3 linked regions of the Lonchura striata genome follow. The protein of the gene in region 3 purifies or fractionates together with the protein of the main gene of each other region. This does not show direct contact. Links are inferred from orthologs where the notes say so. Each region holds a gene or a part of one and is shown on either strand. Other genes may lie near its edges. The genes, in order: CDH5, TES and CTNNA1.

Region 1 (10,359 bases), on a different chromosome or scaffold from region 3:
TTTGCTTTCTGTCTCACACAAAAATACTTGTCTGGAGAAAAGTCTTCCAGAGTGCCTGGTCAGCTCTTGACTCTGGTTTACAGATTACAAACCTTTAAAGGGATATTCTCAGGGCACCAAAACTGAAGTGTAGGCAGTGCCTGGAGGGATAGGTTGCCTTTGTGCCCTTCTCCTGTCTTTGCCAGCCCTGGAAATCCCAGGTCTTCAGCTGCTCCAGGTCCTGTGAATGTCCTAATTAGCACCTGGGAGGGCTGGGCTCCAAATCTCCCTGCCTGCCCAACAGAGGTGTCCAGCAGCCAATGCACAGATCAGACCCATGGCACAAACAACTTCCCTTTCAGGAGATGACAGAACTTAGCATATTCAGCAAAAGCTTGCATTCAAAAACCAGCCAGTTCCATTCTTATTGACAGATCTGAAATTCAGATGCAGATGAGTGAAAATCAAATGAAATGGGCTAATTTTTATTCCTGCACTGAGGAACTGTAAACAGGTTCTTCACAATTTTTTATTAATTTTTCATATTCCAAGGCCAGCCTCACTGCAGAATTCAGGAGGTGCAGTGCTGTGATGAGTAATTAATTCTGAGCAGGTCTCTGGGGGCAGCTCAGAGCCCTGGGGATGGTTGGAGCCCTAGGAAAGGGGCACAGCAAAGGGCACAGGGAGCTGTGGCACAGCCAGGGATGTGGCAGGAGCCCAGGGCTCAGCAGGGAGAGCCAGACTGTGGCACTCTTGAACTGGGAGGGGATAAAAGCCCAGGGGTTCCTTGGCTGGGATCCCCCTGGGAGGCACCGGCTCGGGCTGCTCTGTGTTCCTGCGCTGGGAATAAATGGCATTATGGAATGAGATATCTGAGACTCTGCCATGGGAGACCTGGGCTGGAACTGGGAAGGAATCCTGGTGTGACAGAGGGTGTGTGCAGGGAGCCAAGTGGGACCTGTTGGCTCCTGGGGCTGGGAAGGGGCTCCAGCCCCAGCAGGGACAGTCTGGGGTGGGAGTGGGGCTGCCTGAGTCCCTCCTGGATGGCTGCTCAGGGGAGTTTCCTGAACTGGTGTGCCTTCATTTCTGAACATGCCCTCATTTTGCACAGGTTTAGTGCCAGCATTGCTTGGTGGGACCCCTGGGTTTGCAGGGACTCTGGCAGGGGCCAGGCTCTGGCGCAGGATCCCTGGAAGCAGCACAGCCCGTGGCACCTGGCCCTGACAGGAGGGTTTGTTTTCTGTGTTTGCTCCACCTGCATGGCCCTTGGCAGAGCAGAGCCCTGAAGGGAAACCCACAGAAAACCTTTACCATGGCTCAAAAGAGTGTCCAGCTCCGGGCTCACCAAGCTCTGTGTGGGAGCTGCTCTGGTGGCTGTGGGCTGGGCACCTCTGTCCCAGCAGATCTCCAGTCTGCCCCAGTAATCCCTGTCTGCTGTGCTCCGGGGAGGAAGGGAAACCGCTCACACCTGTGCTAAACTCTGAGGGGTTTTCAGCTTGTAAACTCACAAAGATAACAAGGGAAACCCATTTGTCAAATTAAAAAACAAACAAACAAACAAACAACCCCAAACAAACAAACAAACAAACAGAAAGTACCAAAGTAATTTAATGCCCAACAAATTTCTCACAAAGGGAACCTCTTATTTTCTTCTTGGCACTAACATTGGAACCTCTGAATTAAACTTGTAGAATCTGACAAAACCTGGAATTATGATGAAAATACAATGGCGATTCCTTACAGAAAGGTCAGCTGCCAGAAATAATCAGTTATCTTGATTCTGTGAACCTCTGCTCTTTTAGAAAACAAAAAGTATTTACTGGCCTGATTTAAACCTGTAGTTCTGTAGACACATACCCAGAAAACAAGAGTTTTAGGAAAGTTTTTCTATTTTGAATTTGAAATATTAATTGAAGTAGTTGATTTATGAGGGACAGTGAAGTCCTTTGTTCCATAACTGCTGTAAATCACTTTCTGAACCATGGTTTCTGAACCATGCCCCGTGATTTTTACCTCAATCCTGTTTTCAGCCAGTTTCCCTCAGCAGAGGCAGGATGTGAGGCAAAGCTGGCAGCAGAGCTTTTAACTCTGCCCTGCCTCTGTGCCCCATATCCTGCAAGCTGCATGTTGCTCAGGGACATGCTCTTCTTCCAGGACTCAATTTCAGTGTTAACATTTATTCTAAAAATGTTCAAAGAACACTGTTACGGGCTTCTGTTAAAGAGCAAAGCTTTGGGAAATGCTTCTTGTTGCATTGCAATGCAGCTGTAGCAGTCTGAAAAATAACCCAGGTTTGTGGCTTTGTGGGCAAATCAGGAATGACTTTTTAAATTGAGTTTATCCTTTGCTTTCAAATTAATTTGTTTTATTACTTGTAAATGCACATTATTCTCTCTAGCATACTGTACTATTCTAAGGCTTTCGTATGCTAAATGCATCCTATGTCCTTTTCTCCTGTGGGTCACCTTTTATTTAAGGATAAAAGGTAACTCTTGGAGATATCAGAGATAAATTTCAAGTCAGCATTTCTGTGATTTGTTTCTGGTATATGGGTTGTTGTTACCAGGCACACATTAACCTAAGATGAGAAGCTTTTGTAAATCATTGGAGCATCCTTGCTTTTGTCTAATATATTTTCCTGCATGATCATCGATAATACTGTGTGCTTTTACAAATGCTGATCTAATGATTTATATTCACAGGAGGCAGAGAAACATTGATTAACTATACCTTTGTTAACTGCAGAAACAGCCAACTTGGAATGTTTTTGGGAGCTAAGAATGAAAGAGATTTTCTCACAGAAATTAATCTTCTTCCATATCTTTTTTCCCCTTGCATTTCTTTCCTTCCTTTATCTTTATTACAGTGTGACAGCCAGCACGGTGAGGTGCTGTGCACACTGACAGTCCCACTATTGCAGAATAGATTTCTTAGAGAAGAACCACTATCAGCTCATCTCTTATGCATACATGCTTTGTCTCTGCAAGCTGCACAGCAAGCTTGTTAGTTCAGGGACCTGCTACACCTGCTCTAGGACAAGATAAAAGCCTTTTCAAACAACTTTTTGTGTCAAGCCACTGCTCATAAAATAACCCATCAGAAAAAAAAGATGGGTCTTTTTGAACCACTGAGATCAAGAAACCTCTGGAATAAGAATTACTGGTCTTTTAGAACAGGGTCTGTAAAACCTGGTACTCCAGAGTTATGGCGTTAAAGTACCTGGGACTCTTTAAACTTATGAATTAGGACCAAATCACTGACCTGGATTTATATAAACTCCCTTCCCAGTTTTTAACAGATATGCCAGTGCACACGGTGGCTGTCACCTCTTGGCCCAGGGCACAGGAAGGCCCCCCACCTTACAGACCCCAAATCCACCCCACTTCAATAAAAAATTTGCATCAAATCCCAGCCCAGCACACCTCTGCTCACTGAAAACAGTCCTGGAGCTGCACCTGCCCACACCAGTAGGGAAATCCCTTCCTAAAGGCTTTACAGGTGCATTTTCCAGCATATTCTCCACCTCTTTTTCATTATAGATGAACTTTGGCAACACAATCTAAATATTACAAAGCAATACTCAAAAAACCCATGAAATGTCTCTCTCTTTTTTTTTTTTTTTTAATAACCTGGGAATATTATAGCCCAACAAAGCCAGAGATTTTCCTCTTGCAGTGTCAATTGTAAAGAGCTCTGCTGTTTGTACTTGGTGCGGGTGCCATCAGTGTAACGCCAAAAGGATTTTGTGGACATGTATAAAATTCATAGCCCATTTGCTGATATTTCTTAACTTATTTAAGACATTAGAAAATAATTTGGGTGGAGGTAAAAAACCCTTTGAAATGAACTTCATGGCTGAAGGACAGAAAATAACATTTGTCTCTTACCAGAGTCCGAGGTGGCAGAGCTTCAGTGTGGTACCAAATCAGGCAAACTAAACCCAACAGTATCCCAAAATGTTAAGCAAAATACAAAAAATGAAGATCAAATAGAAAAATCCACTTCTCTTTTCGTTAAGCAATACTGGGAGTGTTCAGCTCTCCAGTCTCCAAGCTTTTCCAGCTGGGAGTCAGCCTTTCCCATCCTGCATCCCGGCATCCTGTTATTGTTCCAAGTCTTACTAATGCAGTGAGAAAAGGGAGTGGAGGAAACAAGATAAAGTTAGCCTTATTATTTCTCTATCTACTTATTTGTTGCTGACTCTAATGAGGGACCTGGATAAAAGGAAACTCTGAGAGAAACACCAGAGTTGGTCTGTTATTTGGTATCGTTTTAGAGAGAATTTTAAGAGGTAGCAAATTTCTAAGAGAAACTTTTAGTGTCTGATCAGCACAGACTATGCCTGCTTTGCATAAACAGGACTTTCAAAGCAGTTTGGAAGTGTCCTACCTATAAGAATTTTTATACCTGGAAACCAAAAAGGTAGAGCCTTCCTGTTAATGAGACTGGGTTCCTGCTAAGCTCTGCCAGTGCTGGGTGTAAAGATGAAATTTCACAGTATTTTTCACAGGTAAAGTGAAGACCAGAGGAGCAAGGCAGTGTAGGCAGGCCTTTCATAAGAAGAAATGTTCATAGCATCTTGATTATGGTGATTCTAAGTCTGGAGACCACTCAGGACACTCAGAAGGGGAAGCTTCAGTGTTAAACTGAACACAAGGGTGTAGCTCTTGGCATTGTGCACTACAAATGAAAGAGGATTTTTTTCATTAAGTAATGCAGAAGAAAACTGAGAAGTGTGGGGTTTACTCAAAATGCACTCTTTGGAACCACTTATAATAAATGCAGGCAAATGTTCAATGTATCTTAAGTATGACATTAGTAATTTTAATTATTGAATTAAATTTTTAATATTATTCCACAGTTAAATAATTTGTCATTACAGTCCAGCACAGGTGGTGGGATTGATTTCCTGCCTTGCCAGGAGGCTGAGGTTGGTCAGATTGTTTCACTTTTTCATGGTGTACATTCATCTTCAGTGAAGATGAATGGCTTCTGAAGGAATTTGTTACATTAATTATTACAAAAAAAAAAAAAAAAAAAAAAAAAAGGAGAAATTCTTCAGTCTTGTGTAAGGAGCCCGAGAGTCCAGTTTCCTTGCAGGAAAATGAGTTGTTAAATAAGCTGTGTCACGGCTGGGAGAGGAGCAGGGAGATGCTGATAGGGGTTTTCCAGGCAAGTGCAGATCTCTGCTCAGGAAGCAGCTCCCTGATAATCAGGTGCCCACAGCAGACAGGGGGCTCAGATAGGATTTACCCTTGCAAGTGGCTCCAGCTGCATTTCCAGCCCCTTGTACCTCTGATGTCCCCGTGTGAGGCTGGGACTGAGGGTGACATTCAAGAAAGGAGGAGGGAGGGGAATCATCCCTCTGCTCAGAGGGAAAAGAGGAGACCCCAGGGCTCTCTCTGTGTGCCCTGAGGCCACAGCTCAGGTTGTCCAGGTCTGTTTTAATGTCTGATAATTACCTTCCTATTATCTGATTTGCTTCTTCTCCCCCAAAAAGTTCAAGGCAAGAACTGAGAAAGTTTCTAAAGGCCTTTTCACATGCTCTGCATCAGAGCTCGATAGAAAACCGAAAATCTTCTGTAAGTTTAAGAGGAAGATACTTCCATTGAAATTGTAGAGACCTGATTTACCATCTAAAACCTTCCAACGATGCTTTATAGATTCCATCTCTGCTGAACTGGTTGTTTAGGTTTCCTTTCTGGCTATGAGGAGAGGTCCATTGAGATTTTATGGAAAGCAGAACCAATTCTAGCAGCCCTCTCCCAGCAGCAGCAGAGCTCCTGGAGGTTCAGGTGCTCTGTACCCTCTGGCTGATCCCAGACATTTGCCCTGCTGTCCCTCCTAGGCAGTGAAAGCACTGTGGTTTAAAGCTGATGACACAAAATGCTGGCAAGCAGGATTTCTTGTAGATCTTAGACTTTCAGATTTTATCATTGTGGCCAAATCATAAGACTTTGGAAAAATTCCTTGGTGGCTCATGCCTTTTGCAAGCCAGAGGGTAATGCTTCAAAAATATTATTAATTCACAGTAAGTTCTGCTAATGAGAAAAATAATTTGCATGATCAGACAACATTGGCAGACATAATTACCTTTTAATTGTGTGATTTTGGGTATGAAATATTATTTAACAGTCCAGCTGGTGGAATTGAAGGGAACAGGTAAAAAATCAATTAGCACACACTGTCTGTGTGACTCATGGATGGAGATGGTGGCAGAACAAAAGGAGTGGTAATTATTTACTCATCATTTCATGGTGCATTCCTGCCATTCCTGTCTCCAAATGGCATCAAGCCCTTTTCAGTTCAGCTCTGCTGTATGAGTTTTCTTCCATGCTATATCCAGCTGCCCTTACTGATCATTTGCTTCTTTCCAGTGCTTTTCCCACAGATGTTCATTAGCTGCTGCTCTGGGGCTCTGTGGCACCTGGGTCAGGTATGTCTGGTTTAGATCAGCATGTCTTTCTGTGAAACTTTGAGTTCAGCCTGTGTTATTGAAATGCAGACTGAGCCATTTGCCAGACTAGTAAAGTTTAAAATAGTCCTTCCTCTCTTGAATGATGGGGTGGAACTCAACTTTGCTTTACAGATGCTTTGCATAGTTTGGATTTGACATTCCTGGGAATCTGAAGCAATAGCTGTCATCTTGCTACTGCTGAGAGGACTGTGTTATAATGGGCAGAAACCCAGCCCTCACTCACCACATTAAATCTGTTAAATCTGTGCTAGCTGTGCACAGACACCCTTGGGGGGTTTGTGTAAGTTACTGGGTTGATAAGTGCACAGAATGAATGTGAGATTAAAGCACCTTTCTTCAGAATTAGATTTTATCTGTTGATGAGGAGATTGATCTAATGATCAGGAGCTCCAGTTTCTCTACTTGCTGTGTTCCTAGCAGGGCAGGCTGACTCGTGCTTACAGCTGGTTTCAGGTTTGCACTGTGTTGCTTGTTCACTGTCTCATCTGATCAGTGCTCTGGAAAGTTCTCAAAGAATTCATGGAAAACATAGTTGTAGGAACAAGTTCATTGCTTTCCTAACCAGCACAAGTCCTTGCAAAGTGGACAAAGTGTCCCTGTACTTTTCACTAAGTAAGAGTTTTCTTCCCTTTTCTTCAAGTAATTTGAGTTATGGTGAAATTCCATATGATAAATAAGCCCTTCTTGATAAGCACAGTTATCAAAACCAAAGGCAGCTATTGACACAGCTGCAACTAATTTTTAATTCTCATCCTGCTATCTGACTCTCACTAGGGAAGGGTTTTACCCTTGCAAGTACAGCCCAGGAATGTTTTTGTAACAGTTATAAAAGTTAGATTCAGTAGTCTGTCCTGCTAAACCCAGCACGTTACAGGCGCTGCGCAAGGGAAGGTGTGCCAAGGCTGGGAATTCAGTCACAGCACTGATACTGTGCCAGGATTTTTCTGACCAGTTAGAAAATAGGGTGGGGGAGAGCACAGGCTCCCAGTTACAAAAATAAACCCCAAATGCTAATTTCCAGCAGCTCAGCTAATCAGTGCAAAATCCCTCCCATCTGAAATGTGCAATTGCATCTGACGGATGTCCGCAGCCTCTCTGGAAGGGCCATTACCTGAAGGTTAAAAAATAACAATTCCTGCTCCGTGTGGAAGGCACAATCTCTGCAGTACCTTGTGTTGTTATTTCTGGGCCTTTAATCAGGGCAGTGCAGTGCTCTCAGTCATTTCCACTTGGTCACTGGTTTCCTTTCTGTCACAGCCTGAGGTGCGCATCCTGGAGTCACTCTGACTCGGCTTCCTCTTGTCAGGTTTTTTAAACAAAGCAATGTAGCTCTGATTTGTTTTTAATTTAAGGTGAATTAAAAAAAACCCAAACTGCTGAAGAATTTCAGTGAAAGCTGGTGGAATTGGGTGCTTGCTGGGGAGGTGTGATAACATCTGCTGAGGTGTTTTCCAGAGCACTGTTCTGGCTGTACCACACTCATTTCACTACAGCAGATCTCTCCTGCAAGGGTCAGTCCCATCCTCCTTAATGAGACCTCTGGCTTCATAAGTATCAAGGACTTAATTAATACAATGCTCAGCAGGGAATGGTCCCAAATGATATTGTTGCCTTGTTTGGAAATGCCAGGAAAGAATAGATGGTACAAAATGCACCCGTATTGTACTAAAACTTTATAACAGCCTGAGCAGAAGCCATAAAATGGAACTGCGTCACCAGTGAGCTGAAGGAAGGAATCATGAATCCCTTTGATGTGCTCACTGAAGACACAATCCACAGGGGTTTGGAACAACAAGCCTGCAGGCTAACTCTAGCACACTAACCTTTACACGTGATTCCAGTTGGAAGAGCAGGTCAAGTGTAGAGGTGTGAAACTGATAAAAAATCTTCCACAAATGTTTTTGATAAACAATCTTCAATTTCAGTGATTTTTTTTTTCACCTGAAGAACATACCTATTTTAATTTGAATGACCCTTAAAATAGAAACCAAAACCAAGGCAATCTGTTCCTTAAAAAAAAACAACGAAAATTGTCACCTTTCATTCATGAACTCTGGTTGTTGAAGCAGCCCAGCTTTAAACTCCAACTGCTCTCCACATGGACCACAAGGACCCCCCTCCCAGGCTGCTGCCACCCTTCTCCTGAGGACACTGGGTTCCAGATGGGTTTTGTGTTGCTCAAAGGCCCATGGGGCAAGGAAAGGACGTGATGTGCCTTCTCCAAAGCTTTTGGAGGTGATGTGCCTTCTCCAAAGCTTTTGGAGGTGATGTGCTTTCTGCAAAGCTGTTGGAGGAACTGAGCACTTGCCAAAAGCAGAGTGGAGAGAACTGCTCTGGATGAATCCTTGCCGAGGGGCTGAAGTGTGAGAGCCAAGGCACTAATGCCTTGTAAATTGGTTCAGTGACTTTTACTCATTTATTACATTCCCTTTATCACACCCCAGGCCCAGGCTGCCAGTCCAGCTCTTGCTGCCAAGCCCTGTGCAAGTGCAGATGGTTTCAGAGTCCTGCTGCCACCCCCTGTGCATTGTGTCTGTGCTGCAGTGGGCACTGTGCCTCTTTAGCCACTGAGTGGATGTGTGAGAACTCCTCCTGGCTTGGAAACCAGTCAGGATGGATTTCTGCCCCCAACCATCTGTGTGCAGGCTACAGCAGGCAGGCTCTGCCTTTAAACTCTGCAGGCTCTGTCCCCTCTGCAGTGAAGCTGCTCTGATTTGTGCTGGTCTGAATTTAGCTGTTGCAGTGAAATGTGGAATATAAAGATTTCAGGCTTTCCCTAGAACTGATAAAATAGCATTTGATTCTTAATGCTATGTTTATAATTGAATCAATAGATTCCTAGCTGTCAAGCATAGAAGTGAAAATCAGATGGAAATGTGAGTATTAGGGTTTGGGTATTGTTGTTTGGAATTTTGGCATGAGGGTATACCCTGCAAATAGTCAGGGAAACCAGTCACAGACCTTGGAGGGTTCAGTCTATAAAATGCCAGATTTCAGTGACTGATGTTTGCAGGGCAGTGGAAATATGTTTTTTAATCTTCTCTTTACCTGTGAATTGCTCAGTTTGAGGTGTGGGGCTGCTCCCCCAGCCACACACCAGCACTTCTGAGCTGTGAGGATCTCACTGCAGCTCTGCAAGCTGAGGGAGTAATGCAGGATGAAAAATGGGTAATGAATAATGAAAAAATGCAAGCTTTAGGAATTAATGATTCATATTGAAATATATCTGCCTTGGACGGTTTCCTTTTGCTGATATTTCATCTTGACCGTATAAATGCTTACGCCCATCCCTGTGCACTTTCACAGAGATTAAAAAGAACAAGAGCTGGTTCCTAACATCCAAACAGAATCTCCAAGGAGAGAATATGTATATTTAAAAGCACAATGGAAAATTTAATGCAGTTAATCCTTGCTTTGACTTCTCAGGATTTACATTAATATTGGAAATTCAGAGAAAAGGAAGATGATTGATCTTGCTAATTTGCAAGAATTGTACATGAACAGCTCTGCTAGGATCTGTCTTCCTGACTGCTCCTGAAAAAATATGTCGCAAAATTAACTTATTCTAAAAAGATATATTTACAGCAAAAAAAGAGGAAAGAGCAATGTTTGTGAATTACTTCAAGCAGACTTGCAGCCATTTTGACTTGTCCCCAGTTTAATGCAGCAGAAAATTATGCTGATTTAACTTTAACAATATGTTTTGAAGAGAAAGCATAATTGTAAAACACTTGCTTTTCAAAACCGCACACCTTTTATGTATTATTTGCACACTGAGTGCAATATTTTTAAATGGGCTTTGAGTACCTATGAAATAAAAGGGCTGGTAATTAATGTAATTTATACTGCAGAATAACTCAGAGCCTTCTCTGAAGAGCTCCTGAGGTTAAACCAGAGTGATG
Region 2 (10,796 bases), on a different chromosome or scaffold from region 3:
AGTACAAAAGTCTCAGGAATTTATTTTATTGTGATATCTTCTACTAAATATCAAATAGCTCAGAATTTAAATATTTAAGATACTGCTACATACCTTCAAAAGGCCAACAGCTATCAAAGATAGCACAGCTGGATAGAAAATAAGAGTTGTTTATTCACAAAGTCCAGCATTACACTAGCTAAGTTTGAATGCAGCTGACATACACTATAACACGATCTGTAAACCTCCAACAAAATATAACCATCATCATTTTCACTATACTCCATGGATTTTGTTTTGACCTGAGCACTCTTACCCAGTTGCATCCTCTAACATTAGGTCTTGAGAAGCAAACCTGGAAACCTACAGATTAATTTTTTAGGAGCTTTAGTCATGCAGGAAAGAGCATGCTTTTTTTCAGCTTTTAAAAGCTGTAGCTAGACAACCTCAGACTGAAAACCAGGCACAAATAAAGAGTTAGGCAGACTTTTAAACTACCAAAAATTCCCCAACAAAACCAGAAACACATACATAGCAGTACTGGAGTACAGTTAGATCTGGTGTATTCTGGAAATGTCATGACAGAAGCCTCCTGACTCTTTTTACCTGTTAATTTGACCAAATTTGAGATGCTAGGTAACAGGTGTAACATGCCTTCATCTTAGCAGCTCTGCTCTTCCTGAAAGTCTCCAGAACCTAAAGAACCCCACCAACTTTGGTCATCAGCAAAAACTATGTATTAGGGCATTTTGTACATATACTTACCTAGAAAAAGACCCATGCATATATATATATACACAACCAATACACATAAGAATTAGTTTTACATGAATGAAACATGTATCTATTTAGATTGTAAAATACAATTTTAAAATATACTACATTATAGATATTTGCATCTACACCCTTACAACTGTAAACTTTGTATCTGCTAGGAAGATGATAGTAATTCGCATGACAGGTTCGGCATACTTTCTTCAAATATAGAAAGTAATTTTAAGCAACTTTTACCAATAAAATTTCATTGAAAATTGCTACTCACTATTACTTACTTAGAGGAAAGTAGAAACATTTCTTTTTTTTCCAGGAACAACTGCAGAATCAGATTTTTGTAACTTTTATGACAGAATACTGTAACTCAAGGTAAGTTAATTTTCCCCCTTGCTACAAAATACTTGGTTTATAATTATACCTTATCGAATAAACTTTCAGCTTATCTTAAAAGTCATGCAGTCCTGCATTCAAAGAGTTTCTTGACTTGCTACTCGGGCATTTCATGATATTTTATAGTCAAGACACCTGGGGAATACTTTTGCCATTGGAAAAAAAGAGTAAGAGTCAAAAAGTTTAGTTTAGCTGTGCCATATTTGCCAAGCTACTATCGAGGGATGCTGGAAAAAAAATCTAGAGGTGTGGATACAGACAGGTGATCCAAAAAATTATTCACTTTTTTTTTTAATGTTGATGGGGGGTGGGGGGGGAACCCTCAAACCCCACAGCATACGCAGGAAGCAGTTACTTAGTTTCCTTGTGAACAAAACTGAAGTAGTTCCTTTCATATCTACATAAATGTTTTCATTCTTCCACTTTCAGGCAAAATTCACCCCTGAATAAAAGTATATTTCCTTGATGTTACTATACATATGAAACAGCAAAAAACTATCTACTATAATGGGTTTCCAAAGCAGTAACACCAAAACAAACACTGACCTCAACAGGAAGTGCAGCCTAGCAGACATTACTAAATCATGCTTTGCAAAACACAGAAAAGTTTCCTTTGCTCCTATACATACTTCATTCACCATTCATTTATCAAGGATCATTACAGTTGTTGACTTAGCAATGTCTAAAGCACGCAGTGTTTGGTTTTCCAACTGTAACAGAACAAACTAAGTTGAAAAATAACCACACAAACTCCACACTAGAGAAGTTGCACCTCTTCCACCCAAACTGCCCTGCCCCTTCTCCATTGCAAGCAAAGTTTCCTTTTATAAAGCAAGTATTATACTGTTAAAGTTTATATAGAACAGACTCACTGCCAGATTCTTATTTTCTCTAGCGAAGCATGAGACCATGCTGCCAGCAGGGCTGAAAAGCAGGACCGTGACCTACTGATTCATTTTACCAAGTTCACAGAGGTGGCAGACAGGGCAGTAATCCAGGCTGTTAGAACAAGGTTCTGCTAGAGTATTCAACACAAAGCATTAAATCTTTATTTATTTTCCCTATAGCCTCAAAGCAACGTTTGAGAACACAGCATATATTGTATCTGGGAGAAACAGTGGTCTGTTTTTTGCACGAGTACTTTTCAAGCTGGAGCTCCTGTTCTTACCCTTCAGCTCTGCTGTGCAATCACTTCATACAAACACTGTTGTCATGATCCTTAAATGCAAGAGCAAATATAACTCCCCCTACAAAAAAGGAGAAAACTGTACAGTTTTCCCTAAATTGTAACAGACCAGGAAAGTCTTAGTATTCACAAGACAGCCAAAAAGACACTATTCACTGCCTAGATGTTTGCCAGTTACTTAATAGCTCTAAAAAGCACAGTGAACTGACTACAAAATTTACATGACCACACATTTGCATAGGTTCTGCATATATATTGCTCAGTATGCTCAAGTGCATGCTGAAATTTCTGTTTCTGGCAGGCTGTGGCTGCCCAGAGTCTAGGATTCAGACCAAGTGAGGTATCTGGCTACACAGCACTAATCGTTCCTTTGGCTACTTTTACCATGCATGAAAGAAACCAAACAGAAAATAAATTAAAAGTCTGAGCCAAAGTAATTGTGCCCTGAAGATTCCTTAAGAAGGGTACATTAAACAGGACTGCTGCTTTTCTGTCATGAGACAGAAAGTATATAAGGTATCCACTGCTGAAAGGATGGCTTAGAAATTGTGGCAGGTAGGGCAGTAGTTAGAAGAACTGGAATCCTACTGGTCTTGTACTGGAGGGAAGCAATTCCAATCAGACAGACTGTGATAGAGCTGTTACATTTGGAGAAAAAAACCCACGAAACCTAATATCAACAATGAAAACAGACTTTGAGTGTTCTTTTCTTCACACAAAACCTAGACATGTAGATATAAATGTATGTAGCAGCTTTCCAAAGAGACAATACAGAAGCTCAAAAATGAAGAATGGACTTAGAAAATACAAGCTTAGAAAATACAAGCAAATCTACTCAAGAGGCTTATTTTCATTGCATACAAAGAGTCACATAAGGGGAACAACTATCTTCTAAAGACAGCAACAGTACTTAGCTACACCCTCCTATACGCTGATGGCCCAATGACTGGGGGTTGAGACAGGCAGTTCCTCCAAAGCAAGATCCTCACCCAAGTGACACTATCACGTGGTGACATCACTTGAAGCAAGCTGTAACTCAAGGCCACCCGCTGCTAGGATTCAGCCCTAACAGGTCGCTTTCCACACTACACAACTACTTCCACCCCCAAGTCAGTTTCTAGCCTGCAAGTTGGAAAAGCACACAGGTATACAAAAGTGCATACGTGTATTTTAAAACAAGTTGCTACCTGTAAATAAAACAACTCAAGAATAAACCCCTCAAAAGACTACTTTTCACATATCAATTACGGTTTTGCATATATTTAACCCATGTTCACATATAAAGGTGCTTTTCCCCTTATCAAAGAGTATCAAAACAGATACTACAAGTAAGTTTTTATTTTTATAAAAGTCAGTGATTTAGCACTACATTTAATTTGTGATAGAACTAGAAGCAAAGACTTATAAGAGTATCCCACGGCAAGTCAGTTTTACATAGGAAGTTTTAAATGGTTAGTTTTGGAAAGAAATTCAATACAATTGGATTACCTATCAATTTCTTCTACTTACCTTTTGTTTCTTGCCGATTTGACGCAACTAACTAGTCAATATACCTTTAAAAATAAAGAAAAATCAAGTCCAGGCTTCTCGCTCAAGGGGGTAACCCATAGGAACGCTGATAACAAACTTGTAAGGAGTCAGTCACATCATAGGTCTGAAATTAATCACTAACATAACTACAAACAGCGACTTGTCCGCTTGTAATTTAAGTTTCATGCCTACATACACAGCGCGCACACACATGAAAACAACTATCAGATCTCAGGGGTTTACTGTGGGGACTGAACACGTTTAACTCGCAGACAGAACAGCGGTAGGGCCCCGCCTGGGGCAGCAGCTGCGGCGGAGCAGCGGGGCAGCCCAGCCGTGCGCCCCGGGCACCGGCAGCCGGCTCGCCCGCCTCCCGCCTCCGCCGCGGGGCCGGGCGGGGCTGATCCCGGCACCAGGGCCACCCCGGCGCAGTCCCCGCGGGGGCTCCAGTGCCCATAGAGCGGACACCGGCGTGCGCGGCAGACATCCCGGCGGGCAGCCCTCCTCACCTTCTTCACTTTCTTCTCCAGGTTCATGGCGGGGCTCCGGCTGTGAGGCGCCCCCGCGGAGGAGGCTCCGCTCGCGCGCTCCGCGGCGCTCAAACTTCCGCTGCCCTGCGGCACTGGCTGCAGCCGAACAAAGGCGGCGCGGCAGCCAATCCCCGCCGGCCGCCGCCGGCCCGCCAGCCAATCCCCGCCGCCCCGCCCGGCCCGCCAGCCAATCCCTGCCGCCCCGCCCGGGCCGGCCGTGAGTCAGCCCCGGCGGGGCGGGGGTGCCGGCGCGGCGGCGCTGGTGCAGCCTCACCTTCGGGTACAGAGCCCTGCAAACGCGGAGTGTCCCGAGCCGTGAGGAAAGAGGAGATCTCGGGCTATAATGCGAATGTGCCCTTGAGGCCAAGAGGGCCAGTGGTAACCTGGGGTGCATCGGGATGGCCAGCAGGTGGTCCTGCCCCTCTACTCGGCCCTGTCAGGCACATCTGGAGCGCTGTGCTGAGTTCTGGGCTCCTCAGCACAAGAGAGACAAAGAGCTGCTGGAGAGGGTCCAGTGGGGGGCCACAAAGATCATCTGGGGTCTGGAGCATCTCTTTAATGAGGAGAGACTGCAGCAGCTGGGCCTGTTTAGTCTAGAGACCACTGAGAGGGGATCACATGAATGCATATAAATATCTCAAAGGCGGCTGTCAGCTGGATCCTGCCAGGCTCTTCTCAGCGGTGCCCAGTGACAGAACGAGGAGCAAGGGCTATAAACTGCAACACAAAAAGTTTCACCTCAACGTAAGGAAGAACTTTTCCACATTGAGGATGACAGAGCACGGGAACAGGCTGCCCAGGGAGGTCCTGGAGTCTCTCTCACTGGAGACATCCCACCTGGCCACGTTCCTGTGCCGCTTTCTCTACGTGACCCTGCCTTGTCAAGGAAATTGGACTAGATGATTTCCTGACAATTTATTGACTGAAGGAGGAGCTGGAGGTGGCAGGGTACAAGGTCCGACCGTGCCCGCCAGGCCGAGACTGCTCCCGAATTCCCAGCGACTTCCCGGGCAGGGCCGTGTCCGCAAGGGCTGGGTCCCAGACTCCACCTACCTGCCTGCCGGAAAAAAAGTTAAGACTGATCCCAGTCTTCAAACACTTTAGCGTATATTCAGTCCTGGGATACCACTGATAATATAAATTTTATTTTACCTATAATGTATACCTAATGCAAAATGACAGAAAAATGAAGCATTTGCAAGACTGAATACTTCCATAAATATTTTAATGTTTCATATTTATTTTATTTTTGGAAAAAGTAGCAAACATTAATAGACTTTATAGCCCTAGGAAGTGATAGTGAAAAATTTGATAATTTTTTCATTCATTTGCACAATCTAGTGTTTTGTCTCCACAATGACCAGCTTTTGTCATGTAGATATTAGGTAATTTTGTTTCTTCCCCAGAGGCCAGAGATACTTATATTTCAGCGTTTAATTTTTTTGTCTGACACCACTTGTTGAAAGATGTTTGCAACAAAGCAAACATTAGACCAGGTCTGTTTGTTGTCTGTTAGCAGATAAAAGCAAAACTGACTTTTCTGCTAGGACTGGCATGGTGCTGTATGCCATGGGCCAACAGCTCCTACAGGTAAATCTATTCAGCAGATCTTGGCCAAGAAGTCCAGTAAAAAACTGGGAGGGTGAGCTCAAGCTGTATCATTAGAAAAAATGAGAGAACATGGTCCACCAAGTAATGCTGCTGTATTTAGTGTGTGTCTCCCTTACAGAGGTGAACAATAGGAACTGTTGCATGTATTTGGTTTAGTTGGGTTTGACATTTTGGTTTTCATTTCTGGTTCTCACTCTGGTATTTTTTTTTTTTGGTGGTTTTTTTTTTTTTTTTTTTTTTTTTGGTTTAGTGGTTAATTCCTGGTGGTTTGGGGGTTGAAAGACAAGGGGAAGTTAAGGGTGCCTTATGTTGGTGTACCTGGAACCCTATAGTTTGAACACCATCAAGCCTCATAACTTCCTCACTGTGGTCAAAGGAGTAAGGAGATCATTCCTGTTCAGTAAATGTGCCCTCGAATGCTAGCAATTACAAAGATTAGATAGGTAGTTTTAACCATACTAAGCAGAGAAATGAAACCATCATAGTCATCATTATATGCTTTTCATTCGAGAATGGATGTAGAAGCATATTTTCATTCTAGGAAAAAAAAAAAAAGAAGTGAAAGAAAATATTGTATGGTTTAAGTTTTTGCTTATACTTATCTCTCTAGGTATAATAGCATAATAATGGTTTTGACAATGTAATTTTTCTTTTTTTTCCCTACTAAGCTTTAATACTGTTCAGTTAATAATAAATTAATTTGCTTATATTTTTCCTAAACTTCTTGAGTTGGAGATGCTCTGGTTGTGATTTGTGCATATTTCAGTTGTGTCATCTAGTGCCAAAATGTAGTAATCTTTTAACAACTTCAAATTCATATAATGAAGCCTACAGATTCATGTGTCTAATGGAAAATGCAGGCAGTAATATAAAACTTCTGGTTTGCAAACCAGCAAGTTGCTGATGGAACACACATTCTCTGAGACCTGGATCAATAAAGAATGCATTTTAAGATTGTAACTGTTTTCTGTGTTTTCTATGGCTTTAATTTGCCTGGCAGAAATAATTTCCTACTGCGTGAATTTGATCCTGTATGACTCCCACTTAAAGATTCTGAAGTTGCCAGGAGAACAACATTGATATGCTAAGGGCACAGAGCTGGGCTTTATTATAACTCTCTGGGAAATATCCAATATCTCTTTTAAATACTATTATTTTCTAAGGAAAGAGCATGATTTATACCAGCACTAACTTTCCCACAGCAATGTTCATGAAGCCAACAGGCAGAAGATGGGAAAAGGCTAATACTTAAATGTATATACTAATATACATTTCTGGGAACAAGGACTGCAGGGAGTGGATGGTCTATCAGAAAATTTTCCTGCTTTTACAGTTTTCTTTGCACTCAGATACCATAATGATGAATGTAACTACATTTCTCCAAACATTAGATATGTAGATTATATATGTGATTTATATGCCCATCCTCAGACGGAAGGCATCATAACTTAGCAATGCTGAAAATTTGTTTCCAGTAAAGCTGTTATTTAATAAACAGTTCTTCTGTTTAAACTTCTCAAGAGACTAACTTCCAGTTAAATTCTTCTAGTTTTGCTGTTTTCTCAGTGCTTTATATGTTAGAAGAAATGCCACTGTGCTTTTAAGATATTTTTCTGTAAATATAATCTGAAGTGTGATATAAATATAAAGAGTCTGTCTTGCTTCAGAGTGGCTTAACACACTAATTTAGTTTTAAAAAAGCATTTCAGTTTGAGAAGGGAATAACATTTGCCTTTTTATATCCATTTGATTAAAATAATGTTACATGAAATGTCTTGTGGCAGGTCCAATAAAAACCCAGAAGGGAATTTGGGTGCAGAGATCAAAAGCTGTAAGTCTGGAGGCATTACTGATTATCTTCTTACCAGGTAAGCATATACATGGTTTTCTGTTGTACTTTAATTATTTTGGTTTTTGCTGTCTCAGATTTCAGATGCTGTAAGTGTTAATATTGGAACAGTAATTTTGATAATTGTTCCATGCTTCATCCATTCTAAATCTAGAAACTAAACTTCACTGTATTTCATTCTACAGAGAGGCTTATTATGTTAGGAAGTTTCAGACCATGCATGAAATAGAGGCTGATTTAAGAACCTTGTAAAGTTTGGTAACACCTATTGCCTTTTTAAAAGAATATAGAAAGAGGCTGTGCCCCACTTTTTCCATAAGGCCTGAGTAGATATTGAACCTTTCCCCAAGGCAGAATACAAAGTCTTAAGATTTCATCAGCATGATGGGAGTCAAACTACAGCTTCCATCTGTTAGGACTGTGGACTAGCTACCAGACTTTGTAGTATGCTTTTAAAGTAGTTCCACTGTACAGAAAAGAAAAATTGCTCCCTGAAGCAGTGACGGAGTGGATCTGTCTATGGGCCTATGCAGTCTCAAGGCCTACATTGGCCAGATGTTGGGGAAACTTATACAGATGAGGGCTTGTTATCCAAACAACCCTTAACACAGGCTACAGTCACACTCTTTCTTGTTCTCTGACTGTCCCTGTGACTTTTCAGTTCTTGGAACAGTGCCAAAGCAAAATGGTAGAAAAATGTGGTGTAGCTTGATTATTATGACACTTGCTAGGAAAATCAAATCTTCCTTCAACCAGGAACTTGTACTTGCCCATTTGTGGGCAGTTTTAGGAGCATTAAGAGAAGGGGAGAAAACAATAAAAGAAAAACTTCTTCTATAAGGAAAGAGTAAGCTGTGCTCTTTCCTTTGAAAGAATTGGGATAGAAGGAGTCTCTGTTTCCTAACAAGCAGAGATATTTTCTATCAAGTGTAGGTGATTCAGCTAAGTTGGGAGACAGCTGTTTGCTGACTATAATTTCTTTTCTGCTTAGTATACTTCATGGCTTGGAGTCTGTTCTGAGTTTTGGAACTGCTCCATGATCTCTATGTTCTTTAGGTCCCCTAGCATAGAAACTAAACATGTCACTTTTAGGTTTCTAAGTCAATTATTGGATATAACTCAGAAGTTATGTACTGGAGAAGGGAGCTAAGTCTTTTATTTCCTCTCTGGTTTTCAATCCCAGTCACAGCATGTATAGTTACAACCTGAAGAAGGTTCCTGCATTATTAAATCTCTAATGAGGTAAATTTACTTAGGCAAAAAACCCTACTCAACACCTTCTCAAACACCTACTCAAAATGTATTATAAATTATAAGAAATTAAATGTGTGGTACCAGATAAATACTAAGTAAAACCAGAGATGCACTTCTTCTTCTTTGAAAAGCTTATTGTATAGTAAGTTTCCATACATATTTTATTCATGGAAGAAAAAGGAGCTCCTGGCAAAATTCAAACATATAAAGACAGTTTATAGAAGGTGGAAGCAGGGATGGGTGACCTGAGAGGAATACTGAGGCACTGTCTGGCATGCAAAGAAATGTCTATGAAAGGCAAAGCCCACTTGTAGTTAAATCTGAGAAAGGATGTCAAATGAAGCAAGGTAAAGTTCTTGAGTACACAAGTAGCAAAAGAGTGAATAGGGGAAGTGTGGACATGCTGCTGAATGGGGAAGTGGCCCTGGTGACATGGGACATGCAAAAGGCATTGCCAATTTTGCCTCAGTCTTTACTAATAAGACTGGCCTTCAGAAATCCCAGATACCAGTGGGAAGGGCTGAAACAAAGAAGACATACCTTTGATGGAAGAAGGTGAGGTCAGGGCATACACAAACAAACTGAGGTAAGTTTATAGGTCCTAATAGGAGGTATCCATGACTGCCAAGAAAGCTGGATGATGCCATTGTGAGACCAGTTGATAGTTGTGGATTCATCATGGTGACTGGGAGAAGTGCCTGAAGACTGGAGACAAGTAAATGACACACCTATCTTCAAAAAAAGCAAGAGAAGGAAGACCAAGGGAACTACAGGCCAGTTACTCTCACCTTTATCCCTGTGGTGCTTGCTGGAGTAGCTAATCCCAGAAATCATTTCCAGGCACATAAAGGACAAAGGTAGCATGGATTTACCAAGTCATGCTTAACCAACCTGATATGATCCTAAGGTGCATCCATGAGATAACTGGCTTGGTAGATGAGAATAGCATCCTCATTACTGGGTGATGGGGCAGAGTGTATCCACAGTAAGCTTGGTGATGATGCAAAACAGGTGGGTGTGACAGACACACCAAAGGGTAATACTGCCAACCTGAGAGATCTGGACAGGCTGGAGAAATGGGCTGATAGAAACCTCTTGAAATTCAACAGGAATTGCAGAGTCCTGCAGCTGGGGCAAACAACCCCAGGCACCATTACCTGCTGGGGGCTGAGCTGCTGAAAAGGAACTTTGCAGAAAAGGACATGGTGGTATCGGTGGACACCAAGTTGGTCATGCACTAGCAATTTGCCTTTGCAGCAAAGAAGACATATCCTGGGCAGCAGGTTGAGGGAGGTGATCTTTCACCTATATTCACTGATAATGCCTTATTGGAAGTATTGTGTCCAGATCTGGGCTCCCTGGGACAAAAGAAACAGGTATACTTTGATTTGGAACAGCTGTCTACATGCTTGTATTTTCCATCTGATGAGAGAACAAAAATTTGATGTTTATTTATTAGCTACATGGACTTAATCTAAGTCAATAAGTTATCTATTTTTTTTGTTGTGAATTATGTCAGAGGTCACTCAATATTCAGAGGCAAAATTTTGAAAACTGTGGTTATTTAGAAATTTTATGGCAAACAGTTTTTTATTTTGACATGACAACAGAGCAGTTCTTTGAAATCAAAATTTTCTGCAGGAGTTCAAATACTAGGAGTGGAATTTTTGATGACAGTAGAGAACACAAAAAA
Region 3 (10,738 bases):
CCTAGGTTTATTAGAGAATGGTTTGGCTTGGGAGGGACCTTAAAGTTCATCTCATTCCACTCCCACCATGGACAGGGACACCTTCCACTGTTCCAAGTGGCTCCAAGCTCCCATGTCCAACCTGGCCTTGGACACTTCCAGGGATCCAAGGGCAGCCACAACTGCTCTAGGCACCTTGTGCCAGGGCCTGCCCACCCTCATAGCCAAGAATTTTTCCCAATAGCCTATCTATCCTTGCCCACTGGCAGTGTGAAGCTGTTCCCCCTTGTCCTATCCCTCCATCCCTTGTCCAAAGTACCTCTCCAGCTCTCTCAGGAGTCCCTTTAGGCACTGGAAGGGGTTCTAAGGTCTCCACAGAGCCTCCTCCTCTCCAGGTGAACAATCCCAGCTGTGCCAGCCTTTCCTGCCAGCAGAGCTGCTCCATCCTCTGCTCATCCTGGAGCCTCCTCTGGCCTGGCTCCAGCAGCTCCAGCTCCTCCTGTGCTGGGACAGGGCTGGGGCAGCTCTGCAGCTGGGGGCTCACTTGAACAGGAGGTGGAGAATCCCTGCCCTTGATCTGCTGCCCACAGTGCTTCAGATAAGCCCGGGATACTGGCATTGATCCCTGAATTTAAAGCCTTTCAGAAGAGGCTCTTGGGAGTCTAACTGATTAATAACTAGCTGTCTTCTAAATTAGAGAAATTGTAACACAAGGGAACGTCAGACTGGGGGAGAATTTCACTTTGCAAACTGTGTTAGTTTAGATCTGTGTATTGAATAATTTCTATCACTTCACAAAACATGGGGAAAAAGATTACTCCTTTAATTCGACCAGAGATATTTATAATCACATATCAAAGGACTAACAGATGTTTTCTGTAGTACATCTGGGATTAACAAGCAAAAATATGTAATCATATTGAGAGAAAAGGTAGCTAGCTCTTTAAATCCATCAGTCACAAGGCATTATGAATCATATTTAAGTATCAGATAGTCTGGACTAACCTTCTGCACACCAGAAATCACAGTTACACCCATTCTCACCCTGACTAGCAGATAAGGAGTCTCAGTCACTAGAGGAGAACAATCCCACTTCCAGTTGCAGTGACCTCATTCCTCCTGCAACTCCTTCACCCCAGTAAATCCATCTGCACCCAGTTCTCCTTCGTGAAACAGCAGGCCACTCTCACAGCTTGTCTTTCCAGAGGAGCTCATCCAGTCAGGGTGCTAGCATACAATTTTGTGGTAGCTCTATTTTAAATCTCATTTTCTGGATTAAAATAGTATGGAGTTAAAAGTAGTAATTATCAAACATCTGCACTTTCTCTAAAGCTGCAATGCTGTTTAACCAACAGAGCAGCTATAAACTCACTGAATGGAGCTATTCCAGATTAGCTGTAGAACAGTTCGGGTGAATTCCCAGAGCAGTAACGGATCCCATTCCTCAAGGTCATACTCTCAACACTGAAGTTCTGCAGCACAAGCTTTTGAGTGATGTCAGTTAAGGCACAACAGCAGGAAGCCCCATCCCAGGAAGCATCCAAGGCCAGGGTAGAAGGGCTCAGAGCAGGTGCAGGGTTTCCCTGCAGGTGTCCCAGGAAGGTGCCCCTGCCCATGGCAGCAGAATGGAACCAGAGATTTAAGGTCTCTTTCAACCCAAACCAGTCTGTGACTCATCATTATGCTGAGTGACTGTCTCATAAGGTGCTGTCCTAACAAAGTGACACTCAGTCCTCTTTAATTCATCACGTTTCCTTTGGTGTCCAGCAAAGCTAAGAGAAACCAGTAAAACAGAACCCAGCAAGTCCTGAACAGAAGCACCACAGCCACGTGGGCCTTTGCTCCAGAGCAGCCCCACTGCCCACCTATGACGAGCAGGCTGGTTTGGCCACTCAGTATTTTTGTGATCTTAGCTAATTCTCTGCATAAGAAAGGTCATTTAGAAATCAAACAGTAACAGCAGATGTAAATTCAAGGCAGGCCTGAAGTCCCACAAAAGTGTATTTCCAGCTCATAAACAGTTCTGCTTAATCTGGATTCCTTTGCAAGATCAGTTTCTGTATCTTACAGCTGCAGAAAGAAGATATTCATGCTGCTGAAAAAACACAGATTACTCTTCTGTTACATCTTCCGGTTAAATTTATTAGACCAACAGAAGCCCTACGAAGAAGCCGCACCTTAAGGTCTGTCCTGACACATATCAGCACAGAAATGCTGATGTTTCAAAGCCTGAAAATCAACTGTGAGGAAAGTATTTACATTTGTATTTTAAAGCATCGATTTGAGCATGGGATTTCTAATCTCTGCCCACTGCGCTTCCCCCAGCCACCTTGTGTAAACTTTAAATCTCCGATGCAGAGGCCTATTATTAGAGCTGGCTGAAAAAAAACTGTAAAGACTGAAGGCACATTGTTTGTTATGGAAAAGGTTAGGGCAAAGCCTTTCTAAAAACAAAACCTACTAAACCTTTGTTTCTGCTGAGAAAAGTCAAAACATTTCCGTGATGTTTTAGAAATTGCTTCTTTGAAAATGATGAACAGTGACTCAACATCAAAGTATGTCCTTTCAAACAACATGTTTCGATTCAGAAGGGTGAAATAAGTACAACAACAAAACACTTAATGTGGCCTTGCTGCCCCGAGACAGAGCAAAGGCTACATCTAGCGTAAAATGAGCTGGGCTTTCACCTTCATCAACACAATCCTGCCTACAAACCAACCCAGGAACTGACATAAACAATCCCAGAACCTGGCGTAGCCAGCAGGACTGAGGAGTGTAGCCTCTCCCACCTCCCCAGACCCAGTGCAGCAAAAACACAGGAAACCATTAACTAGAGCACAAGTGACTGAAGCACCCAGAAAACACCTTCTGCACAACTCCCATCCCAAAAAAACAATAGACAAAGCCAAACGAAGGGGGAAGAGCAGCAAAGAGCTCCCAGACTAGTTCAATACAGATAGTCCAGACACGCCTGGAGTCACAACTCGGAATGCTGTGCTGAGGACGCGGTCATGGGGCTCGCAGCGATCGATGACCCTCGCCAGAAGCCACCTCCCGGGCACGGCTGGCGAGCCAAGGGCACACAGACAGGGAGCCGTGCCTTGCTCACATCTGACTCGTCACTAAACATAACTGGAACACACACTTTGCTGCAAACTTTCAGTCTGAAGGATTTTAGGCGTTTTGAACTGGCAGGAGCAATGAATAACAGGCGGGTGACCCACGCTACCCAGGGAACCCAGGGCCACAGGCAGCAGACGCAGGGGCCGCACATAACCCGGGAGCGGATGCGCTCTTCCTGCTTTTTGTCTGGGAAAAAGTAGCACGAAACTTTCTGTCAGCGAAGGAGAGGCCCACGCCCTCCAGCAGAGGAGGGGATTAGCGGTGGGTGTCAGAAAACGTGGCGGAGCCAGGTGGGGCCGCGGGGTGTTCCCGGCTGTCCGTGCACGGGATCAGCAGCACGGCCGGGGCTGGAGGAGGGCTCGATGCGGCCTCGGCCGCGCCGCCCGGGCAGACCGCGGGCCGAACGGCACGGAGCGCTGCCAGGGCTGCCGGCCGCGCCGGCCCTAGCGCAGCCGGGGAGCGGCGCCAGGGCGGCCCCGGCCGCGCGGGGAGGGGCCGGGACACCGCCCCGCCGCACCGAAACTTCGCCGGGAGCGGCCCGGCCGCGCGGCTCCCCCGGCGGAACGCGCTGGCGGCCCCCAGCACCGCGGGCCCGCCCGCTCCCACGCGGGCCCCGCCGCTCGGGGCAGCGCCGCCGCCACAGCCGGGCCCGGCTCCCTCCCCGCGCGCGGCCCGCTCCGCTCCCGCCCTCTGCCCCCCGCCCCAGCCCCGCGGCAGCACGGCCCGGCTGGCGCCCGAAAGTTTCCAAGTGCGAGAGCCGCAACTTTACCGGGGCAGAGCTGGGCTGGGATGGTGCGGCCGCCCCGGCTGCGCTCGGCCCCGCCGCTTTGTCCCGTCCCGCGGAGGAAATGGGCTCTTCCGGCGCCTCCCCGCCCGGCCCGGCCGCTCTTCCCGGCACCGCCCGCCGCGCCGCCCCCGCGCCCTGCCGGCGCCGCCCGCCCGCAGGTGAGGGACGGCGGGGCCGGGCCGGGCCGGGCCGGGCCGGGCGGGGCACGGCGGGACCCCCTCACCCCGGGCAGGACGGGGGGTCCCCTCACCCCGGGCAGGCACCTCCAAACCGCCCAGCCCTGCAGGGAGCCTGGCTCAGCTCCCTGTCCCCCTCGCCCCGTGCGCCCACGGGCAGCCTCCCTTCGCAGCCCTCCCCTGGCCGCCCCCAGCCCAGGCTCTTAGGATGGCACTTTTGAGGCAGAATCAACAAATTCGACGTCAATATCTGGCCTTGTCCTCCTAAGCGCAACTTACCGAGGGTCTTTGGAGAGAGGGGAAGTGATGGACGTAGGGGGTTTGAAGGAAACAGGGAAAGTTATGGGTTCCCCCTGGGTTTCTGTATTGGTGTTTTGTTTTGAAAAACCCAGATATTTTCACCCTCCAGAGAGCTGCTGCTTTTAGGAAACACCTTGTTTTCATCCAGATGTCTCTAATAACAAGACTACAGGTGAGAGGAAATCCCAGGGTACAAGCACGCCACAGGCACCCCTCTAAGAAGAGAGGAAGGTTTTGCAAACTTAACCTTGACCTGCAGAGGCAGGTCTGCAGGTGGAGAAAGTTGTCTTTATGTGGCAATTTGTTTTAAAGTTTTCTTTGAAAAGTCTCAGTGAGCATTTTGTGTGAGAGAGTGACAAATTACTCTGGGACTTTCTGTGGTGTGTTTTGAGATGGTTTTTGATACAAATCTCGCCACAGAATTTACACTTGTACTGGATTGTAAAGACGACTGAATAAATTGAATACATTTCATGACTCATTTGCCAGCACTTCTGCGATACCTGAAGCTACACACTCCATCCTTTGTTATTAAGCAAAAAATAGAGAGATTGAGTAACCTACAAGGAAGATTCATTCAAGGTATGTGACTGAGTGAGGGGCTGGCCCGAGGTCAGTGTCACAGCACAGGTGACCACACTGTGGTCAGGACTGTGACTTTCCTCCAGATGCTGGTTCAATGGGATTTGCAGGGCTGTGTTTCCCATCACTGCCATATTCCTACAAAACTTTCCTGCAGGAACACTCCTGTGGGGAATTAGATTGCATTTTTCCTTCCTGCAGATTTAATCCAAGAAAGAGATCCAAGACAAGGAAGTAAGTAGAGTACTGTTGTTTTATAATCCAGAAATAAAATAGGGATCAAGAGCCCAGCCTTGTCAGTGAGTGAAATTAGTCTAAAGAATGTGAGATCTGTAATTATGAAACTGACTGAGATACAGGTTATTAAAAAAAAAATACAGGTCTTCAGTGCCTCAACAAACAGACTCTCTTATGGAAATATGAGGAAAACAGATTTCTTAATTTCATTGTGTTTCCTGCTTATACCAAACCATTAATATTTGGTGTCAATTGCACCAGGGATCCAAACTACTCATTTCTGTCTGTAGCATACTCTCAGTAAAAATGGGAGTTTACACTTCAATAGCTTGCTTTCTTTCATTACTCGTTTTAATATCATGTCTTAGCCTCCTGTGGTGCCTTCCACATTCGGCAGTTCTCTGTGCCTCACATCCTTTCAGGACAAAATGTCAGATTAAAAAAAAATTCCTTTTTAAACCTACAGATTCCAAAGTAGAAGGCCTGGAGTTGTAGAGAATCACATGTTCTGCACTGCACCACTGAAAAGTCAAGGGAAAAGTAGGAGATCAGCTGGCAGCTCTGTTGGTTCATGGAGCGAGTTAAAAGGCTCAGCAAACAAAACATAAAATTATGTAAAAATAGAGCCAGCTAGCTTGAGATTGGACTTTGTCTCTTAATTAACAGCTCTCTCTGAATCACAGCACTGGGCTCTGTCAACAAGACTGAAATGCAGGGAGTGTTCAGACAGGCACCCAGCAACAGTAGCTCACACCTCCCATCCGGCCCATGTCATTGGCAGCTTGAAATCTAATGCATTTTCTGAAATGAGTTACAAGTGTTCTGCTTGGCCTCAAATCTTCCCATAACAGTGTTTGTGATTTTGTAATCCCATTTTCCTGGTGGTTTCTAAAATGTTTTTCTTGCCCTTTTTCACTGGCGAAAACGCAGGGTAAGCCAGGGGAGAGGACAGGGAGAGAGGCGAGGTGGCCACCCCGATACTGGGGGAGGTTGTTTGTGTAGAATGAACAAACGCTCCCGTCCAGTGAGGACGATCCAAGGTACCCAGAGCAGAGCGGGGCTGGCGGCTGCACACTCCTGGCAGCCTGGCCCTGTTCCTTAGGTGTGTACAAGGGCAATCCCTGGCCAGGGCCACCTGGAGATACTGTGTGGGTGTAGCCACTGCAGGGGAGCTGCATTCTCCTGTAAATCCTGGGCTGGGTCTGTGTAGGAAGGGGCTTGTTTATCTAGCAACCTGCTGGAGCTCCACTGTCTGCCAGTCTCAGTGTGTACGGGGTCTAAATGATGTGCCTCATCTGGAACTGGATTTTCTGTTTCTGTAACAATGCTGTTGAAGGGTAGTTGCTCCATTTCAAAATGTTTGTTTGGTCTCTGTGGTTTTGTGTTTGTTTTGGAGGGGTTTTTTAAGTGGTTTTGTTTAGTTATTTGCAAAAGATGGAAGCATTGCACCTCTCACGGCAGTTTCAAAGACAGGACTGCTGGAGCAGGAAGTGGTGAGGGGATTGAGAGGCATGACAGAAGGAAGGAAATAAAGTTGAGGAAAAGTAATACAGTGTTGTAATGGTAAGCTGAAGGTCCTGCTGGAGGGGCTGAATGGGCAGCAGGAACCAAGAGAGAGAGGAAAAATTCCAAATACTCTAAAGGAATCTCCAGGTTCAACTAGCAGCTGGTTGAGGCTTTCTGCACACTGATGTCATGCTGGGCCGTGGGGACAGCTCGAGGGCAGCCGTGCTGTGCCACCAGCTGTGTGACTGCCAGCAGCAGTCACCCAGTCACCGGGCACAGCCCTGTCACCTCCTGTCCCTGGGCTGCCAGCAAGGCAGGAGCAGGGCAGGGACTCGCAGCCGGTGAGCTTTGCTGTAGGAGTCACCCAAAATGCAGCCTCCCTCGAAGACTGGAGGCTCTGATGAAGTCAGGAATGTAGCAAAGGAACAATGAGGGCCTGGCACCAACTCCTGGGGGCTCTCCAGTGCTCATCTCAGTATTCCATGCAGCTGGGAGACAACACCATTTCTTTTCAGGGCTCAGACACATAAAGAGCTAAGATTGTCTTGCAGTATCCAGCTAGGAATGAGCATGTGTACAGCCAGAAACCAAATTCCAGTGTTCTGGGGCAATGCAATGGACTCTGGAAACGCTGGTATGTGGTGCTTCTGGGGAGACTGCAGGTACACAGCCTCAGCTGTGATTACAACACCTGCCTTGCTGAAATAAGCCTCAGTCAGGAGAAGAAGGGATTTACCAGTACACCTGCAGCTACACTGGGGCTCCCTGGCACTGCTGGCAGCGCAGGGATCAGACCCAGTTGATGCTGCAATGCCTCTGGGATCAGCAGTGGTTCTCTGGGAGCTGCAGCCACAGTGCTCCTGGTGCCAGGGCTGTGCTCCCCATCACTGCCACCCTCTCCAAGGAAAACTGTGTGCTAGAAACATGGCCCAGTTCCTAATCAAGAAGCCACTGGCTCCTAAGTGAAACACTCCCTTCCTACACTGTCAAATGCTCCTGGGCCCTCCAGAAAGAGAAGCAGTCTATAGCACCAGCATGGCCAGGAGCACAGGGGCTGTGGCACAGAGCCCGTGCTGCCTGCAAAAAACAGGCAGAAACTGTAATGAGGGGAAATTATGCCATCCCAAAAGGCTCAGCATGAACTGGGTTCACTGGTTGCTGTTCTTAGCCCAAGTAGTTTGCATTCACCTCCAGCTTCACACAGCCTTTGTGTAATAAACTGTCATAGCCCCGGAGAAGGGAACATTCAAAAAAGCACCCCGAGGCAATGCATAGCAGAAGCCTGAGAATCCTCCTGCATGAGTCACTGACCTCCACACACTGCATCTATTTCAGCCTTTAATTAATAATATTTTACATTTTTATGGCACTTTCCATCTGGAAAGATCCGAAAATGCTGTAAAGACTAAGGGGTGTACAGCACCATTGAAATGTGGTTCCTGTAGAGGTGGGACTGTGAGAGCTTAGCCAAGGGCACAGAGGAAAAAGGTTCTTCATGTTAAATGCAGCCTCTGTTACGTGACTGAGTATTTCATATCTGTGGAGAACAGACAAAAAGATTTTCGTTTCTAAGGCACTGCTTGAGTAAATAACACTGTCAATTGCTTTTGTAATCCAGGAGGTATGCAGTGCAGAACAAGTGCTGGGTGATTTTAATTTGGGGTGTTAAAAGGTCACAATTTAAGCTACAAATTGAAACCATCATTGGATCAAGGCTTTCCCACCTCCTGATAATTTATTCCCAAATGTTAGACACAAAGCAGAAGCCAGTGGAGTGGAAACAAACCCCAAGCTGACAGCACCTTACCCTGCATCCGGAGCACCGAACCCTCGCACATTCCCTGAAAGCTCAGCAGGATCGTGTGAGGCTTCAGCAAGGTCAAAACCAGCCCCAAGGAGCAAGTGGGGCAATGGAGAAAACCAGGAGGAAAGAGCCCTCCTGTCCCAAGGCTGACACAGCCCTCAAGGGGAGCCAGGGCTTTGCTGGACCAGCACAAATCCCTTCATTTTTATTTCTAAAGATTAAACAAGCCAAATCACTCTGCTCAGCAGATGAGCAGGGCCTGGCTTTCATGGGGGCAACCTAAAGGACTGTTAGCCACAGCTGGCATCCCTCTTTACTAAGTACTTGGCCAAAGTGAGCTGGGAGCACTTGACCACAAAGAGTTTTCAAAGGAATGTCAAATTTCTCTTTTTCTCAGTGTGATTCTAAACTATTTTTATCTGCCTCTTTCTGGAAGAGAGACACGGGCATTGCCACGACTAGCCGTAAACTTTCATTACTTCCCGAGGAGAAATTGCAGAGAAATTACAGGCTAGTGCACTCTTTTTATGTCTCCTGCTCCGGGCATGTCAGCACTGCTGCATTCCAGTCTACCCCCAACACATTCCTCCCTGCGAGTCCTGTCCCCTCCCCGCCTGCTGATGGACATTAATGACCTCCCTCGGTAATTAACACATTGAGCGCCGCTGTCAGCACGAGATGAGTCCCCAGTGCTGGAACAGCACATTCTGTATGTGCAGGGTGGGATCAGTCCCGACTGCCCCTCCACCCCAGCGTGCCCCTTGGCACCCGAGCTGCACCCGCCCCCTTTGCCCGCTGAGTGCAGGGCAGTGGGGGCACACGGAGCCTGTGGCTGCACCATTCCTGTGCTCCCCGTGGGAACACCTGAACTCGCACATGCCATGTGCAGCTCCTCACTGCTCCTCCAGGCACGCAAAGCTGTGCGGAGAAACACCCGTAATCCTTGTTTCAGCATTATGAGGTGCCGGTAGCAGATATGAATTATCCCTCTCCCATAAAGACAAACACCTACAAGTAGTTTCTATACTGTTATACGATCAGGGAGACTGAGGCAGAGCAAATGAGTGCGCCGAACCCTGCAGCTCCTGCCCCAGGCTCATCTCCCTGCCGTTCCCAGCCCCGAGTCCAAGCACTGCAGTGCGCCAGAGCTCCCTGAGCCTGGAAATCCCACACCCATGTGGCTTTTTAGGCATGGAAACTTCATCCAAAGGGAGAAATTCTGTCGTCAAGGTGAAAAGCATTGCTACTGAAATGTGATCAAAGAGAGAGTTATCAACTTAAGTGTACTCAGGAGTTTCTGTTCCAGACAGAATTATCAATGAGAAACCAATCTTATAAGGTAGCTGCTATTGATAGGGAAATAAAAGGAATACAGTTCTTACCAGACAGACCTAAGTTGCTCCAAATTGCTGTCAGCTTGAAATATCTTACTGGTAATTTGTTTCCAAATTCTTTCTCCCTAAATTTGATTTGTTGCTGTACAGTGGATGATCTATTCTGCACAGCACCTCAAAGAGCATTCCCGTTGTCCTCTCCCTGATTGTTTGTGAGCTATCACTTCTGGGAGTTGGCAGCCTTTATTATAAAAAGGGACATCATTGCTTGAAAAGCAGACTTTTGTCTGAGGCTGTGGTATCTGCTGTCCTTACAAATAGTAGCTGAGATTACTGGGAGGAAAGTCATCAAGGAAAAGACACTTTTCCTCCCCATCTTTGAGCATGGACAAGCGGCCACTCTCTGTGTCTGTACCCTGGGGCAGGGGAAGGATGGGGCAGCATTTTCTATCAGGATGTGAATAAATCCTTTCACCAGGATCCCTTTTAACCAGGATAAAATCTCACCTCCTGTGGTACTGTAGCAAGAGCAGGAACATCACACCCAGCAACTTTTTTCTGCTGATCTCTGCTCTTTCTTATGTGAGGGAGGAAGAGAGAACTCTGACTTTATGAAGTATCCTGCTGGGTTCAGTGATGTCTCCTACACGGTGTGTCTGGGGCTTTCCCAGGCCTCTGAGCAATCGCCCTCAGCTCTCCAGAGGATTTATTTCTGCACATTTGACACAGAGGCAGAAATGTGAAACTCCACCTCACCTCTCCATCAGGATGCGTCCAGCCTGCCTGTGGGTGACAATGAGGAGAGCAGTAGCCTTGCCCTGACTTTCTCTTTAAAGAATATAAATGTGTCTTCTCCTGTCCTTTCTCTGCTTAACCCTCTCTGTCCAATGGTTTAAGCAAATGCAAGGAA

The links.
Region 1: the proteins of CTNNA1 (region 3) and CDH5 purify together in Homo sapiens (affinity purification with western blotting; 4 studies listed by BioGRID and IntAct, counting the BioPlex papers as one, with this or other methods). This does not show direct contact. The link is inferred for Lonchura striata from reciprocal best matches to the Homo sapiens genes CTNNA1 and CDH5.
Region 2: the proteins of CTNNA1 (region 3) and TES purify together in Homo sapiens (affinity purification with mass spectrometry; 3 studies listed by BioGRID and IntAct, with this or other methods). This does not show direct contact. The link is inferred for Lonchura striata from reciprocal best matches to the Homo sapiens genes CTNNA1 and TES.

The regions. Positions count from the first base shown.
Region 1 is NC_134615.1:2,277,575-2,287,933, reverse strand, and holds the start of CDH5 (cadherin-5), read right to left. Parts: upstream 4,081-10,359; 5' UTR 3,867-4,080; intron 1-3,866. UniProt on the Homo sapiens protein: Cadherins are calcium-dependent cell adhesion proteins. They preferentially interact with themselves in a homophilic manner in connecting cells; cadherins may thus contribute to the sorting of heterogeneous cell types.
Region 2 is NC_134607.1:34,801,975-34,812,770, forward strand, and holds the start of TES (testin), read right to left. Parts: upstream 4,448-10,796; 5' UTR 4,396-4,447; coding exon 4,369-4,395; intron 1-4,368. UniProt on the Homo sapiens protein: Scaffold protein that may play a role in cell adhesion, cell spreading and in the reorganization of the actin cytoskeleton. Plays a role in the regulation of cell proliferation. May act as a tumor suppressor. Inhibits tumor cell growth.
Region 3 is NC_134617.1:16,847,970-16,858,707, forward strand, and holds the start of CTNNA1 (catenin alpha-1), read right to left. Parts: upstream 3,981-10,738; 5' UTR 3,872-3,980; intron 1-3,871. UniProt on the Homo sapiens protein: Associates with the cytoplasmic domain of a variety of cadherins. The association of catenins to cadherins produces a complex which is linked to the actin filament network, and which seems to be of primary importance for cadherins cell-adhesion properties.